Linked DNA regions of Drosophila melanogaster. Changing the gene in region 3 together with the main gene of any one other region gives a genetic interaction. Each region holds a gene or a part of one and is shown on either strand. Other genes may lie near its edges.

What was found. Genes that interact genetically often act in the same process or in processes that back each other up.
Region 1: of nmo (region 3) and px, changing one enhances a phenotype caused by changing the other (phenotypic enhancement), as found in Drosophila melanogaster (one study listed by BioGRID).
Region 2: of nmo (region 3) and mthl8, changing one enhances a phenotype caused by changing the other (phenotypic enhancement), as found in Drosophila melanogaster (one study listed by BioGRID).

The regions. Positions count from the first base shown.
Region 1 is NT_033778.4:22,558,944-22,564,179, reverse strand, and holds the start of px (plexus), read left to right. Parts: upstream 1-2,114; 5' UTR 2,115-2,261; exon of another isoform or gene 2,262-2,281; intron 2,282-3,037; 5' UTR 3,038-3,434; intron 3,435-5,236. Other genes in the region: dnr1 (defense repressor 1), read left to right, coding at 1-60; CG11362 (uncharacterized protein), read right to left, coding at 1,391-1,686, 1,747-1,786.
Region 2 is NT_037436.4:20,119-26,930, reverse strand, and holds mthl8 (methuselah-like 8), read right to left. Parts: upstream 4,504-6,812; 5' UTR 4,449-4,503; intron 4,388-4,448; 5' UTR 2,739-4,387; coding exon 2,235-2,738; intron 2,180-2,234; coding exon 2,023-2,179; intron 1,843-2,022; coding exon 1,651-1,842; intron 1,591-1,650; coding exon 1,372-1,590; intron 1,313-1,371; coding exon 955-1,312; intron 902-954; coding exon 853-901; 3' UTR 623-852; downstream 1-622.
Region 3 is NT_037436.4:7,977,295-7,982,634, forward strand, and holds the start of nmo (nemo), read left to right. Parts: upstream 1-1,751; 5' UTR 1,752-1,879; exon of another isoform or gene 1,880-2,215; 5' UTR 2,216-2,386; intron 2,387-3,105; 5' UTR 3,106-3,524; coding exon 3,525-3,688; intron 3,689-5,340. Other genes in the region: CG8209 (uncharacterized protein), read left to right, coding at 33-375; POP4 ribonuclease P/MRP subunit, read right to left, coding at 691-1,311.

The DNA of each region.
Region 1 (5,236 bases), on a different chromosome or scaffold from region 3:
GGAGCAGGAGCAGGAGCAACCGGACCTGGCGGACAGCCGAAGGTTACGACGGCCGCCTAGAATTGGTTGTGCTCGCTGCTGTTCCGGCTGATGGAATGGGTGTGCGTGCCGATTGTCTGAGAACCAACATGATTCACTAGTGCTCTATGACCACAACCTAAAAGGGGAACAAACCGACGAGGCAAGCAAGCAACTGGCAGCGTGCAACATGCCACGTGCAACGTGCAACATGTCACGTGCAACGTGGGTTTGAAATCGATTCGAAGCGGCGTAGTCAGTCTTTCAAACAATCTTAGCTCTATCTTTACTCAAGTATTCTAGCGACATAAGCAACTGAAACTTTAACTCTAACTCTAGCTGTAACTCTAATCTACAGAGTAGCCATATACACGATATATATATATACCTAATATATATATATATATACATATATTTACTATTTATAGATGTACGAACTTCGAGAAAGTGCTATTTAAACTCGTCTAAGACTTCACTGCATAGCCTATGCCTAGAATCTATAACTGCAGATTGTTTCATATTCATATACACACTGTATACTGTATACACATAGATATATTTACGATCGTTATAGATCAGCGATACCTTATACGATGTAGCCCTTGAATGTACAACATAGTTACTTACTAAATGTTAGCAATTTTACCAACTAAAACTCGAGATGTATTTATTAACGCCTAAACTCTTTAGTATTCCACCCTACCCAAAGGAACCTATATAAGAAGCCCCCCAAATTCTCATATATCTAACCATGGATACCTATTAAAAAACTATATGTTATAGCGTGTGTATATATAGGACAAGCGTACAATAATCGCAAACCCAAGGAGCAAAGTAGTACTAAGTACCTGCAAATCAAACAGAAAAACATAAACCGAAACTGAAACAGAACACGAAACACGAAAAGTATCTCTGCAGCGGATATTACATAGTCAATAGTAAATGTTAACAATGTTATACTATATATACATAGATCTATATATATATATAAATATATATATATATATATATACATATAAAAGAAACCAATGAAAAAACCTTAAATGTACCTTGTTATCTGTTGTTTATTATTTGGAAAGCAAATCTTCGTTTCTTGCCGTCTTTAGTTGAAAGCTTTCTGTGGCATATTTCTTTGTTCTTCCTTAACGAATTCTTCTATCATTTATCAGTTTTAATACTTCATTTCTTTTCTCCTTTGGCCTCGTTGCAAAACTGAATTCGAAATAAATGCTCTTGACCAAAAAATCTCATCAAGTTCCTCTCATTTGAAATCATCAAAACCTCATCGTCTTCTCCTTTCATTTTCTTATTTATGAGCGCGTTGGAATTCTTCTCACAGCTGGAAAATATATCAAAAAAGAACATACTACGCCTATGTAATGAGTCCAATGAATCTGCCAAAGGTCTCGATAAGAAACCGCATCATCTGCAAATTATCCATTTCTGGACTCAGCTTGAAGTACTGAGTAATCTTCGGTTTTCTCTTTCCCGGGATATCCCTGTCCACATTTGTAATGAGATGTTTTAAGTAATGCGGAATACTCTGAAGACCAAAGGGAATATTTTCGTTTTGCAGCAGGAACTCTTCGGTTTTCATAGTAACAGAATTATTTGGCACTGCCATTTTCACACTTATTTCGTTGGGAATAGCTGTTCCGAGTGTGATTCCTAAGCCGGCAGGGAAAATTCATTAGTAGAATTTATTTTATACATATGTTAATTGCTTACCCAAGAAAAAGTGCAGAATAAAAATCACTATTGAGTTCATTTTCAGACCTAATTATTTCTGTTACAATGTTCTGATTTTGGGTTGAGTTGTGACGCAAAGTATACTATTTGAAAACTTTACTTCGACGCTTAATTCGAACAATAGATTATTATAGATTCAAAGTTTATTTAAATTGAAATCTTTAAATCCCGTTATGTTACATTTTTGAATTGCGCGCCCAAATCTTCCACGAACGCGTTAGCACATAACTCAATTTGAGCCGCTTGTGAGCAACAGCTGATCCACTGCTCTTCTTCTTACACTCCAGACAATCGCAGCACGAAATCCAGCGATGTGGCAACACCGCCGGCCAGGTGGCAATTCTGCTGCGCAGTGTGCACACACTGGCAGCCACTGCTGGTTGGCTCTTCTTCTTGCAACTGCTGCAATTATATATCGCTGTTCCGTCGTCTCCGCCGATCCAACTCCGCGCAAAAAACCGCACATATATCGCTCAACGGTCCGCGAATAATCCGTAAATATTGCAATTGCACGGTGGGCACAAAAAACACGACAAAATAAAAGGCCCAACACAAAACAAACGGAAACTCACACGGACACACGCACACACACGCAGGCGAGCAGCTGACGCCGGCAGAGGCAGTGCAGCAGCAGCGACAGCGGCAGAGCAGCGACGGCAGCAACAAGCAACAAAAGCAAAAGGCAAACAATTGGATAAGCGCTATTAAGGTGTTAAAAAGGCAGCCAACTTAACAGTCCAAGAGTTCAGCTTGAAAAGCTAACGGTTCCAAGGTCGCAGCGCGAAAAAATCGAAAAAAAACACTCGCTTTTTAGCCGTCTTGTTGTTGTTTTGGCTGCTGCAACAGTTGCAGCCTATGCGTATGTGTGTGTGTGTGTGTTGTGTGGAATTGTGCGATCGCCATCGTCCGTTTCTCTCGCACTTGCTGCTAATAGTCGCCGGTGAAATGGTGTCGCCTTTCGCAGCCGACGTCGACGTCGCTGCCGACGACGGCGCAGAGACCACCACTGTGGCAATGAAACGCAATTTGTTGTTCTTGTTTCTGTAAAAATGTTTACAATGCGATCAAAATGCACTGGCAGAAATTAAGAGTGATAAGCATCAAATTTAGCCCATTAAAATTTGAAATTGTTAAAAGCGATGTGATAAAGTTTATAAACACAACTATAAGTTTGAAACACATAAGAATAAAATAAAATCTAACTTGCGCGAAATTCATTTTCTTATTTTAAACCTGTAATAGTGACCGAAAATTTTGAAATTCTTTCTAGATTGTTCAGCCACAACTGAAACATAAAATCGAAACCCTATTTTTACCAGCTTAACATGGGTAAAGTGAAACTTATAAGAAAACCATGAAGAATACCGTGAATGCTCAATTCAAAATTTGAAAATCCACTAGTGCTCTTAATAGCTTCAAAAGCAAGTGAAGAAATTTAGAATAAAGAGTGTGATAACCGAAAGAAACACCGAGAAACGCCGAGGAAAGTCTAGACAAGTGCCTGAAACCAAATGTGTTTGCCCCGAAGTTAAGTCCCTTCGATCCGCCCAAATCGGCTTTAATTCCCGTAAATCCCCTCTTCCGCCCAATAATTCCGCCACAAAAACAGGCACATGAGTTGGATTAATCGGAGTCAACTGGAATAGGCCGAAGCACCCGGAGCACAGGTCAGTATCGGAACAATCAGGCCATATCGACTGACATCAATCAGTTAAAACATTCAAATACCGTTTGCTCAATTGGACGGTTCGCCTTGAATCGGTTGAAACCGGTTGCCGATTACCGGTTCGCTTTAAAATTCAATTAATTTAAATCAATTCAGACCAGACAGTTTGGTTTCGTGTGGTTTCCATCACAAATATCCGCCGCGACCTAACTATTTCTAAAAAAATGCAATAAAAGATTGCACAATTCCTAGCAATCGAGGAATTTCAAGTGCTGTACAGCAAATCTGAATGATACTGATATTGACGCTTTTTAAGTGAAGGCATGACGAAAGTAAGACGTTTTTTACGGCATTTACAAAATGCTACTCAAAATATTAGGTTTTGATACGGAAAATCTCAATAGAATCTACCTTACATCATATGTAGATAAAATTTAAAAGTCTTTAATAATTTATGAGATTTTAAATACAAATGCTGAAGTTTGCCATCGAACGTAATTGCAGAATCCTAAGATATTATCATTGACAACTTATTGGGCTGCAAAGATAATATATAAAATATATATTCAATTATTATATTTGTCCAACTGATGGAATTAAATAATCATTAAAATGGTAATTTAATGAGGCGCTTTTGCAGAAAACAAAAGCAAACCGCATGGCGAATAAAACAAAAATCGAAATAAAAGCGATGATTTATGCAATATTCAAATATGCATTTCGCACAGGCACTCACACACACACACACACACACACATACATACAGATAGCATTTGGCTTGAACTTTAAAGAGCGACTACGGTTATTAATTTAACCTTTTTATTTGGCTTCACTTGGTTTAATTTGTGTCCAGCAGGTCCCAAAAACCTGAATGCGCTGATGGCCAGCTCCGCAAATCCCTGAGCCCCTCTTAGCTGTCCGGTTTTTTTTATTTTTTTATTTTTTGGGCGCCCTTAATGGAAAAAATGTTGAGCGGTCTTTTTGCGATTCTCCTCTCGGCTTAATCCCATTTTTGAATACCCTAGCAATAGGGCTTATAACTTCGTTAAAATGGTGAAATACTCTAAATAAAAACATAAAACATATATGAACTTATTTGATTTCAAACTCCAAATGTTGCATGCTTTTAAGCATTTTAAAACCATTCGGTTTTTTGATCTCCATAAGATGTTCCTTATTCCTTGTATATTTCGATTCATCGCACATCCATAGATGATTGATACTGTGCGTATCCGATAGGGTATTCTTAATTCCGATTCGTACATATACCATTTTATACTCGTTCCCCATTGTTTTTGCGTCTGTTTACGTTGAACTGGGGGCCACTGAAATGGAATCGAGGAGAAGGGTGCCCAAAAGGAAAACGACGTCCTGCCATAAAATTGCATGTCCAAGTTGTTTTATTTGATTATGCGATCGTGTGTGTGTGTGTGTGTGTGTGTGTGTGTGTGTGTGGATTTTTGTTGCTGTGCTCGTTTTTTTTTTTTTTTTTGCTGCAAGAGTTTATTGCGCGGAATGCTATTTAATAAATTCCATTTTCTCTGTCATTTTGCCGTGTTTTTGTTTTTGCATCTCGGGCAGGATTTATGTTCTTGCTTTTGTTAGCGCTGTTTCCGCTTTCCATCTTGTTTGTTTGCCCGATGCAAATTTAAAAAATTCAATTTCCCTGGTAACTCCAATTGCGTCAAAGGCCAGCCAAAAGTTGCGGAAATGTGAATTATGTGCATCCGTTGCAATATGCACAGCGTGCTTCTTGGCTCGCTGCGATTTCATATTTCACTGCTGGATTTATTACTAATTTTG
Region 2 (6,812 bases), 8.0 Mb from region 3:
GCTGCTGTACGCCCAGCCAAAAAGAGCAGGACCAAAACCCGAAGCATAATCGGCATGAAAATGAATTGGGGACTCCGACCCGGGTGGGTTTTCTGCGATTAGGCCTTGGCAAGGGGGTGTACAGGGGGAAAGTTTGCGAAGCCTTTTCAAAAGAGCACCACCAACATTCCACTTGATTCCTTGCTCTTGACAGCCCCCTGTCGGGATGCAGTTCTCGTGGCTCTGACCAACTTTCTCTCTCTCTCTCTCTGTCTGTTTTGCGGCCATTGACCTCTGATGTTAAATAAAATCGGCGCACATTTATAATATAGAGAGATCGGGGAAGTAACACCGGGCTTGGCGATGCGGATAGGGTACAGTAAAATCGGGACTTGAAATAAGACTGGAGAAACTTGATCACGGTCCAGGAATTTGGAACTCAAGAAAGGTGAAGGATAAATTGTTGGAGGCGTAAACTCAAGAAAACTGCTCAAATTGTTTAGAATATTAATATGTTATGTGTTCTTTCACATGGCTTAAGTATATTCCATGTTTTGTTCTATACTGAAAGGATTGTTGGGACTTGTTATCATATTTAACAATTGTAGAAATTCCAGACCTGATTTTTTTTTCAGATATATTTATTTTTTGTATCTTTATTATCGTAATTTCGTTTAAAGGGTAGAAGTGTACTTTTTTGTTCGAGTTCAAATTTTACAAATATATTTTACACACATCCTACAAAATTTTACATTTAAAATACATGGTTTTTGTCTATGCTGATAAGTGATTTTAAAAACATTGCACAGATATTGTCGATACACTCAACTGCTTCCAGTTACACTAACGCTACAGTGGGCACAACAAGAAAAGTTAACCAAAACTCGAGAGCGGAACTGAGTTTTCACAGGTATCTTCGCCACTGCAACAGTATATATTAACAGTAGTACTTAAAATTCATAGTTATCAACTTACTTATCTATGCGCCGCAGAAAATTTTGGATTTGCTGATTCTTTCCAATCAGCGCATAGAGGGCCGCAAACCCGTGGAAGGCCATGCAGAAGCTTACAGCGTAGTTAAGGTGGGATCTGTTCTCCCAGTAGTAGTTAAAGGCAAAGGAGCATATGCAAACGACCCATACGACTGCCGTGTAGCCAAAGTACTTCCAAAATGATTTGAATCGGTTCTTCTCTATGGACTCGAAGCTCTTCTCCGTCTCGATATCTGGCTGATCACGGATGTAGATCTGGCTCAGGACATAGAAGAAACCGCTAATGGCGCAAGCCACGAAAACAGGAGCGTAAAAATATATCATAACGGACCAATTGCGTGCTAGCGATGTGGAATACCAATTAATTATTATAAAACATATATGGATTGGCAGTGCTTACGATCAAACCAGCATGTATCGCCTCCGAAGATGAGCCTAGAGCCGTAATAACTGAAACCCACAAAGAAAGACCAGCCCACGGCTACCAGTACGATGGGAGTAAATATTAGCCAAAACATCAGTTTTGTGAAGACAACGCCATAAAAGCTCAAGTACAGCTTAAATGCAATAAAGCTCAGAATGTAAAAGGAAAGCACCAAGTTCATCAACGCCAAACTTGCTAAAAAAAAAAAAGAAGGGAATGTTTAAATATCACAGAATACTCAAATTTACCACTTACGTAGAATACGACAAGCCGCATTTGAGAGATTTGCTGGGTTGTGGAGCGTGAGATAAGCCAGTAGGGCATATCCCAAGATCATACAAATGGCGTACGCCTTTATGGCCACACCGTAGAAACTGTTGCGCATTTCCGAACACATAAGGTAGACCATCAGCACGATAAACATTGATAGAATAGCTATCAAGAGACCTGGAAAGTGAATACGCTGGGTAAATTAAATTCTGACTATCAAACTATTAATGCTATCATCGATTGTTTTTTGGTGCTTTAGCAATTACTTTTATGTATTGTTGTGAAAACAGTATTGTGCATATTTGGGATAATGAATTGCTGAAAGTTGCTGGAAAAATGTTTCCTCTTGCTACTTACATATGGCGTATGTCCACTCCCGCACCCCCAAGACGAAATATAGTTTTTCTGGTGCACAGGCCAATGGCTGCCACTCCCAGGTGGAGTTCCCATGGAGCAGCGGAGTGAAGCAGTAATGCTTAGAAAATATGTGTCCTCGGTGGCTGATGGTTCCGTTCTGAAAAGGCGATGTAAAGCCATTAATGTGATGGAAGGTTTATTTCACAACCGACCTCATGAAGTGTCCAGTGAACGTATTCCGAGCCCTTGGTTACGGCTTTCATGTGCTCACATGGTGTTTCCACGTGGATGCTAAAACGGGGTTGCAGTTTCACTAGACGCAGACTGCCGTTGCCCAACTCCACCTCCATATGGCTATGGGAGGGAAGGCTGGACACCCCGGCCACAGGGACTAAGCACTGCCTCTTCTCCAGGTCGTAGATTTCTCCCCGTAAACAGCAAATCCGTACACAGGGTTTGGTCTTACAGACACAGGCTCTGAGATGCCTGCTTGCGGGGATGCGGATGCCATTTTCGATGACAAAGTCGTACACGGCTACGAAGTGACGGGGAATCACCGTCCAGTTGTGCACAAATGGGCCATCTAAGCCGTAGCTCCCCGTTATGTTTGCCGTATCGATAAAGGCACACGGATAATGTGTCTCTTCATGGAATCCCCACGAGCAGTGTGTTCCAGAAAGAATGAGGAGGACTCCAAGAATGCAGAACTGCGCCATTTGAGAGACTTTCTCAACTGACGATTTTTGTATTTTGCTCCGAAAACCGATTTGTTTACGCTTGAACGTCCAATTTATGCTTGTTTACCTTCAGACAATTTCCAAACGAAAATCGAATCGTATCGAAATGTAGGGTGTAAGAAATTAAACAAAATAGACTATATAGACACCGAATAGTAAAGCACTGATGACGTCACTGGGTGCATGAAGTTAATTGAGTGATCGGATCATTATCTTCTCCTAGCACGGTCCAAACTTGGACTGTGAACGAAATCCAAATCCCAGCGAACTCAATCGAAGGTAGTGTGTAGTGCTCTACTGAGGCACGGCACAACGCAACCCACTTTGCGAGAAACTTGCGGATATTGTTTACAACAACCAAAGTAAAAGTCCGAAAACTAACAGATCGATCAGGAAATGCCCTACTCCAGCAGCTGTGTTCACGAATTTAAAATCTGGATCCCCAACTGTATATCCCGGATTAATTTCGAAATTAAGCGTATGGTAAAAGTACACTATTTTTGTGTTTTAGAAAGCTCAGATTATACAAGTAAACATTGTCGATAGTTTTCGTTCCTAATCTTTCTGCAGCGTCTTACAAGTAAAACGTTCTTATCGGCATATTTTCTTCTCAACAAAAAGTGCCATTTTGTTTGGCGTCTTTTAAAAAATTCGTTTTATAGTGTCCTTTGGCAGAGGGTTTTCGCATTTTATAATAACGAGGTACAAGAGGAAAGGTAAGAGATACAGTCACAGATTTGATTTAAAAATCAGGAAAACCAGATAAGCAGGTACTGATGATGACTAATCCATTGCCATTTAAAATTATAATGTAAATCGCCCTGTCTGCATGACTTGACAGGATTATGTTATTTTTTGCCTTAGTCGGGCCAAGTTGCGGTCGCAAGCGGATTTTAACGGGTTTCAGTTGGCCACTTTTTGACTTTAAATGTCTCTTTAATGGTTCCCGAGATGTCGGCTTGTTTGTAAATCATTTAACAGCTCAGCTGCATCTACAGGTTTCCCCTTCCAGAAATTTTGAAATTCTTTACGCAGACTTTCCACAACAAGGTCGTCAAGGGTGCCATGCGGTAAAAGTTAGCGGGGCTGAACACCAAGTAGATAAACTTCCGCAACAGGCTGCGGGGGAGAGGATTTCTGTGCGTCAAAGCTAGGCACAAAGGCCACAACATTGGGATCGAACTGGGATTGGTTTTCAACTGGGATTGGTTTTCCACCTGTTCCACTCCAAAATCACTGTTGTCCTCGCTGTACACGTGCCCGTCTTCCTGACGGAGATACTAGATTCATCACGCGATTCCATCTGCTGCTGTTGATATTGCTCGGCCAACTGGTATGACTCCTTGCCTGCAGGACGACTATCTCATTCGTTGAAGTAGTAGACTTTAAATTGGTGAAGACCTGATTATCTTTGATCACTTTATTGTGGTCTTCTTCCTAAACCAGATTGAAGCCACCGGTAGTTTAATGCTGGTGGACTAGATTTGGAGCAGTTTTCCTCAGAGCGTCTTCAAGATGTGATGCTCTTTTGCGCATCCGAAAATCTGTGCACTTTCGGAAAGTCCGTACTGCACGTAGTGGTGCAATTGACCGGTGTCTTTATGGTGTTCCATACCTGTGGGATTTATCTGAAATATTGTATACGTAAAAGAACGTTAATTTGTGGTCCCTACTGATTTGTACACTTACACCAACGTATTAACTCTTGCTGCATAAAAGGCTTGTGTTTTCGGTTAACTCTGATGGCTCTTTGTTGTGAATTGCTTGCCAACCGATTCTGATGAAATACCGACAGCAGACCGTTCATAAATATACCAAATTTTATGTTTTTAGTATATGTCAAATATCAGCCGTCCGATAATTCGATAATTTTCAATAAACCTAATTATACAACTGTCAGTATTTCTTGACGAACGGTCTGTCCTCAGTATTTTTACACAACCCAGATATGGTAACTGTTTGTTTTACGCACTCTTAGCGCAAAGAGCTATCTAGATTTAATGAATACTGATTTGTAAACTTACACCAACGTATTAACTCTTGCTGCAACATTGTTGATTTGTGTTTTCGGTTTGCTCTGATAGCTCTTCGTTGTGAATTGCTTGCCAACCGATTCTGCTGAAATTCCGAAAGCAGACCGTTCATAAATTTACCAAGTTTTATGTTTTTGTAGTATATTTCAAATATAAGCCGTCCTAAAATTCAATTAATTTTTAAATTAACCTAATTATACAATAACTGTCAGTATTTCTTGACGAACGGTCTGTCATCAGTATTTTTACACAAACCAGATATGGTAACTTTGTTATACGCACTCCTAGCGTAAAGGGTTATACTAGTGTCAATGAAATGTATGTAACTGGTAGAAGGAAGCGTTTCCGAACTTATAAAGTATATATATTTCTGATCAGGATCAATTGTCGAGTCGATCTGGCCATGTTCGTCCGTCTGTCGGTATAAAGATTAGATCTTAGGAACCCGTCTTTTGAAAAATGTTTTGATATTTTTTTATATATTTTTTTAGTCTTGCAAACTTCTATCGGCTAGCCAAAAATTGTTTGGGCAGGCCCACTCAGACGCACACAAACCACACAAAACTGTTATGCCCACACTTTTGAACAATATTTAAATTAATTTTTATTGTATTATTTTTTCCCCATTTCTACCAATATTCCTAAAAAATATTTAAATTTCTCTTTTACGCTTCTAACTGATTAACTGGTACCTGGAGTCAGGAGCTCGACTACTGCATTCTCTCTTGTTTTCCCTGTGGATGTGAGCGAAAGTCAATCTTCAAGCAATTAAAATATGTTACACGTCTGGTGGGAGTAAGATAGAAAAATTTCAATAGAATAGAAATGGCAGGAAATTTAAAAAAATATTGAACTTTTTTATAAAAGTATTGGTAGGAGCGGAATTGCTTCAGACATTTCAATAGATATTCACAACTTAATTAAAAAAAAAAAAAAACAAAAATATATTAGCTAATACCCTAATACATATATGTACCTAAATACAAAATTTAGTTCATAATACGAAAAATTTATTTATATTCAAAATTTTCTATTTGTTAAAAATAAAGATTTTGGGAACGGTTGCATTGTTACGGAAAAGGTTAAAGTTTATAATATAAGCATAGTTTATTTTGTTCGATTTTTTGCAAGTAATTTTTGATATAGTCTATTCATGATCTGTAACCGCAGTTAAAATGTACCAAGATTAGCGTACAAGTTTTTTATATTATAAAATAGGAAAAGGAATCGATTTGTTTCCACAGATTTACGAGAAGAAACAACATAAAAATGCTATATTCGAGTTCCCCAAATATCAGAAACCCGTTCGTGTGAACGAAATTTCATCATTTTTCTGGGATATCGAAAGATACTGGCAATAAAATAAGAAAAAATTTAACGATTGTTAGAAAGTGTGGGCGTAACCGGTTCGGCTGCTTTAGGGCGCTAGAGTGGGCGTGGAAAAAAGTTTTTTGGCAAGTCGATAGAAATCTACACGACTACTAAAATTATATTAAAATATTGAAAAATGGTTCAAAAATGTGGGCGTAGCTGTTTTGGGCTGTTATTTATTAAATTTTGAAAAAATATCGAAGAATGGTTAAAAAATGTGGGCATGGCAAATTTTTTTTTGAAGAGTGATAGAAATTTACAAAGTTAATAAAATGTGAAAAAAATAGGAAAAATGGTTTAAAAATGTGGGCATGGCAGTTTTGTGCGGTTTGTGGACGTTAGAATGGGCGTGACAACATGGGTCACCAAACTTGCACTGCGTCCTTGTCTCTAGAATCTATATGCTGCTTAATCTCAACCTTCTTGATTTTATAGTTCTTGAGATCTCGACGTTCATACGAACAGACGGACATGGCTAGATCGCCTCGGCTTTTGATTATGATCAAAAATATATATACTTTATATAGTCGGAGACATTTCATACTGTTTGTTACATACTCTTCAACGAATATAGTGTACCCCTTTAAATATATGAGTAAGGGGTATAAAAAAAGCAATACAAAAACATGGCCTTTAATATTTAATCTGG
Region 3 (5,340 bases):
CTTCATAATTCATTATAATTCATGGTATGCAGAGAACAAAAGGAATTGGGCAACGCAGAGCCAGCTCCATCCGTGAGCTCCACCACAGTTTCGTCACCACCGGCCGGTGTGAAATCTCCGCCGCGAGACTACACCGAAACCCGCATCCAGGTGCGCCTGCAGGATGGCTCAACACTACAGGAAACCTTCAACGTCAAGGAGCAGCTGTCCGCCGTACGTGTGTTCATCCAGATGAAGACCGGCATCGAGTCGCCCTTCTCTCTGATGACCACCTTTCCGCGCAAGCTGTTCGCCGAGGACGACTACGAGAAGCCGCTGGAAGTGCTCGGCTTGGTTCCATCCGCTGTCATCACCATGACCAAGACGCCCGCATAAATCTTTCCTACAAACTGGATATATTTGAATCCGGGTAATCTCTCCCATAAACTAGAACCTAAATACGAAAAAAACGCGGCGCGAAATATACCCCCCCCCCCCCAAAAAAAAAAAAAAAAAACAAGAAAAACAATTAATGTACGGTTTTATATATATATTAAACACAACAATCTCAAATACAAGTAAAGTTTTAGAGGATCTTTGAGGGCAATTATTAAATTTCTATTGAAAAGCGATGCTAACTTTCCAATAAACTTTTTTCCTTAAATTACAATAGGATTCAATTTCTATGGCTAATGATTGGTCCTGTAGTTCCTACATGAAGGGCTTCACAAAGTTCTTGATCTTCTTAACGCTTCGCTCGGCGGGTCGAATGTTGAGGTGCTGCCCGAATATGGTGAACTCCATGTTGCCCACTTTCATACCAAAGACGCACTCGCTCTTGGGTATTGTGCGCAGCCGATGGTCCTTGCCGAGCAGTTTCAGCACGTTCTTGGTGTCCATGACGCAGATGCCAGCCAAATTTTCCAGGGTGGAGCACTTGGACTGCAGCACCTTCATCTTGGCACCGTGCAAGTCCAGTTTCACCAACTTGCGGCTGAACTCGTCGTAGCGAGCATCGTGCACCTGGGGCACCTCGTCACCTTCCCTCAGCTCCAGATGCTCGCGTACATAGCCCTTCCACAGGTGGTGCAGTGGCAGTGCCTCCTCGTACTTCATCTGCTTGGTGGGAAGAGTGTTCAAACCAAGTGCCGCATATTCCCGGCGACTCAGCGTACTGGATTTGTGGGCGCGACGTTTTCGGGAGTGCTGCTTCTTGATCTTGGTGCCCTCCAGCATTGTGATGTGATCCGGATTGATGTTAACATTGCAACGCTGGTGCGGAATCACCAGATCTGAGATAAATTCCCTCAATTCACTTGTCGCGTGTTCCATTGCGTTGTTATTTAGTTTTATTTATTTGGTGATCAACAATATATCGATAGGCGCGGAACTCTATCGATGGAAGAAAAGGCGATATATTAATATTATTTTTTCAGATGCATAGCTGCATGTGCACTTCGTATAATACAAGCTAAATAATAATTATTGCTATTAATTATTAGAAACTGTATGTACCTGCAATTTTTCATATTCAACGCTGCAATTTAAAAATAACGTACATTCGGGGCAATCTGGCGTTGCCATCCTGCTTTTGCATTTGAAATGTCATAAAATACAAAAAATACCAACGAAATAGAGATGGAAATAGATATAGTGCGGGCACTCTAAAAACATCGATAGCCAAACCTTGAATTAATATACGAGTGGAAAACATCGGACCTATCGATGTTTCTATCGGTGGCCGACCACCTCTAGCAACGCCGAACATATGTTTCAAGTCTCTCTCAACTTTCGAACGGAGCGGAACGTCGAGCGCACGAATTCGGAATTATCGTTGAAACAAACGTCGCCGCGTGTGATCGAAAATCCAAGTTAGGCTCATTCGTTGGGAAGCTGCGAGGTAATCAAACGCCAACCGACGACCAACATCCGCCCGCCCCCCTTTTAGCCACGCCCCGCGGCCCGTGTGATAACAAAGATAATGCAATAAAGGGCAACCGTAGAAAAAAAGCTGTGAGAGAGCCAAGAAACGTGACCCAGGCAAAATTTTGTTTGTTTGTCTGGCTCTGCATATACATGTACATAGTTTAAACGTGCGTGCGATTGTGTATGCGCGTGTGTGTGAGCAGCCGTCGCGTTAGTAGTAGTAACACGCCAAACAACAAAAAATTCATCTCGCGTTATTTACAATAATAATTAAACAAAATTACAAAATTGTTTCCGTCTCGCCCGCTAGTTCACTCTCTCTCACACACACACGCACGAATATTACCCCCGGCGCGTTTTACTTCCATCTCGCTCCCACAAAGGCGGAAGAGTTAAACACAAAAAAAAAAGAAAAATAGAAAAGAAATTATAAACGAAAAACTGCCACCGCCGCTGCTCAATAATTTGTGCATTTTTTAAGGTAATTTAAAGTGAAATGGAATGTCTTGTTTGCATAGGTTAGGTTTAATTAGTCCGGAAAGCTAAGCGAAACCCTGGGAAATATTACATATCCCCGGGCGAATTTCTTTTGTCCCGTTACTTTTCGATTTTCATGCGAGCGTTTTTTGATTGCGTTCATTTTCTGGCGACTTGGGGGTGCTCGCCATTGTTTGGTTTTCAACATTTGTAAATTTGCATGAAAAGTCGGATTTTAAGTGATTTTTGTGTCTTTTGAGCGGCTTTTTGCGCAGGCAGCGCAGTCCGAAAATCACTCAGAATCGCACTCACATGCGCACACACTTACAATTGTAATACACGGACGCGCCCCGGTCGCGACAGCTAACGGCACTTTTCATGTCCTCTCGCGCGCTCTCTCTCACTGTTCTCCTCTCTTCTTTCTTTTTGATTCCTGTGCAGCATCATTTGCCACCAAAAATTCGAAAAGCAAACAAAAGTAACGACAATTAAAGTACAGTGAATAATACCAAAACCGGATTAAATTAAATCTAGCTTTTACAGAATATACAAAATATTGAGCCTAGTGGTAACTAGTAACTAGTGGTCGAATAGGAAATCAATTCTCAATAGTTTTCTTGCGTACTGTGAAAATAAATCAAGATTGTAAATTCTGTTAGCAACGTTTAAATTATTCACAATTCAACTGTCTACAAATGATTATTTATCCACTTCACTCCGCAGTTTCATCACAATGTCCTCAAATCTAATTTAAATAAGTAAGAAGTGTAACAAGCGACACGCAGCGAAACAAATAGCGCTGAATAGAGGAGCACGCCAAGGCAAACAGCAACAAATGGCCAACAATTGAATGGCGGCCATCAGTTGGCCCCAGCGGCATCCATTGAGCAATCAACACCATTTCTCCCACATCAAATCAAGCACCACTTCCAGCAACACCATCACCTCAACCACCTCAGTCACCACCGCCGTCACAGCTTTGGGAATCAGAACCACAGTCCAAGACCCAGTCGAAACCACCACCACCACCAGTAAAAGCCACAGCCTAGCAGGACCACAACCACTGAGCTCCATCGCCAACAAATACCAGAACCGGGTGCAGCTGCTCGAATTATTTGGAAAACTTGCCGCGTAGTCCATCAATGAGCGTTTCGATGTCACTGGTACAGGGTGGTGCTGCCGGTGGTGCGCCACAGGGCGCCAGCGCAATCTTGGCCGCAGCGGCTCCCTACTATCAACCGCCGGCTGTTCCCCAGGATGTTCAGCCGGATCGTCCTATCGGCTATGGAGCATTCGGAGTTGTCTGGTAAGTATAATGATTCTATATCTCAGTGCAATAATCCAGATTATGGGCGAAGGGTGTTGCCATAGTATTGGTACAATCAAATTTTTTCTTGGTTTAGCAAGCATGGTTATTTTCGGGTTGTTTTGCTGGTTGTCCAAAGACATCCCGCCGAAATGGGCAATTATATTTGAGAATTATAAGACAATAGGTGGTATAGAATGCAGAAAAGGGTGTATTAACGTCATATCCTATTATATGCTTGTGCCCCTTAAAGAATTCATGTAATGATAATTTGTAAATGATTTCATTATAAACACATTCGGTTAAAAAGTTGTAAGACCGACTTCGAATCCAAATGTTAATACCCTCCTGTCAATGTACTTTTATAATTCAAATATCTAAAGATTAAACAGTTGTTCTTTGACTTGAAAAAGTCTTTGTTCTATTCGAAGAAAGGGTATCTGCAGCGTCGTTACTTTGCTGTGCGATTTTATGTCACGGTCTCGCCGTGGGTTCAGCAACCTTCTGCTTAGGCCTTTGATTCTGTAACCCTTTTGATTGTGTTGCTGCTGTTGATGTTGATGTTTTGTGCAGCGGGCAACGTCAACATCCTCGTACTCATTTCGATTCAGAACCTCAGTCCCGGGTCTCAGCTAGCTGTCCTTCATGGTTTTGTGCCTTTGTGCAGTTTTCAACGTTGCTGCGGCCCCCCGAGGGTGGATTTTTCCTATAATATATTTCTTACCCTAAGCGCGCTGGCTGGCTGACTGGCTGGCTCTCCGTGTTTTGGCCTCCCTCCCCCCCCCTCAATTTGGACTTTTCTATTTGCCCATCTCCTCGTTTATCGGCCTCTCTCTGCTTTTTTTTTTCTATCCCCTCGACTCTTTTGATTTACATTTGTGTGCAAAATTTTACATTAATGGTTGCTTAAATGGGGTGAGCATTGAATATTTGTTTGTTTACTGGGTAAAGTAAAATATCTAATATGGATTAGCAACATTTTGTTATCAATGTAACCGAAAAGCTGCAAATCTATCAAGCAAATGATTTTAACATAGCACAAAAAAAGGTGGCAATATGAAATCATCATATCTATTTATTATTTAACTCGACTTCCTATCAATTTATTCGTAGTGTAGCCAGAAGTTTGGCAACGCTGCATTTACAAATTTCATTCACGTGTAAAACGGCATTTCCGGCTATAATCAAAACGCAAAGTGAGCCCAGTTTATCGGGCGGGTCTTTTGAGGAGTGCTGCCGGTGGGGGAGTGGTCGTCGTTGGTCGTCCGCAGGGAAGCCAGTTAAAAACTGGCACACAAGGGGCCCCGATGGTTTAGGCACAAGGAAGTGGAAGTCCGAAGACGAGCCACAAGTGGAGGAGCCCAGTGAAATACACAAAGCGTGGCGGGGCTAGTGGAAACTATGGGAGGCTAGAAGAGGCCCAAGAAGAGGCCCAAGTATATCCCTCGATACACCGCCTTCCCTTTGGCCAACTGAAAGTGGAGCCCGCGAAATGAAGTCGTTGACGTTCGGATTGGCTTCACACAGCAGTCTTTAGTAGCAACGGGTCTACCAGTTGCTAACTTGCAATAATATTCATTTACTTTCAAAGTTACACCATTGTAAGCCATTGCCCCAAGTCTAAAAAGCTGCATACTATGCTATTATTAATC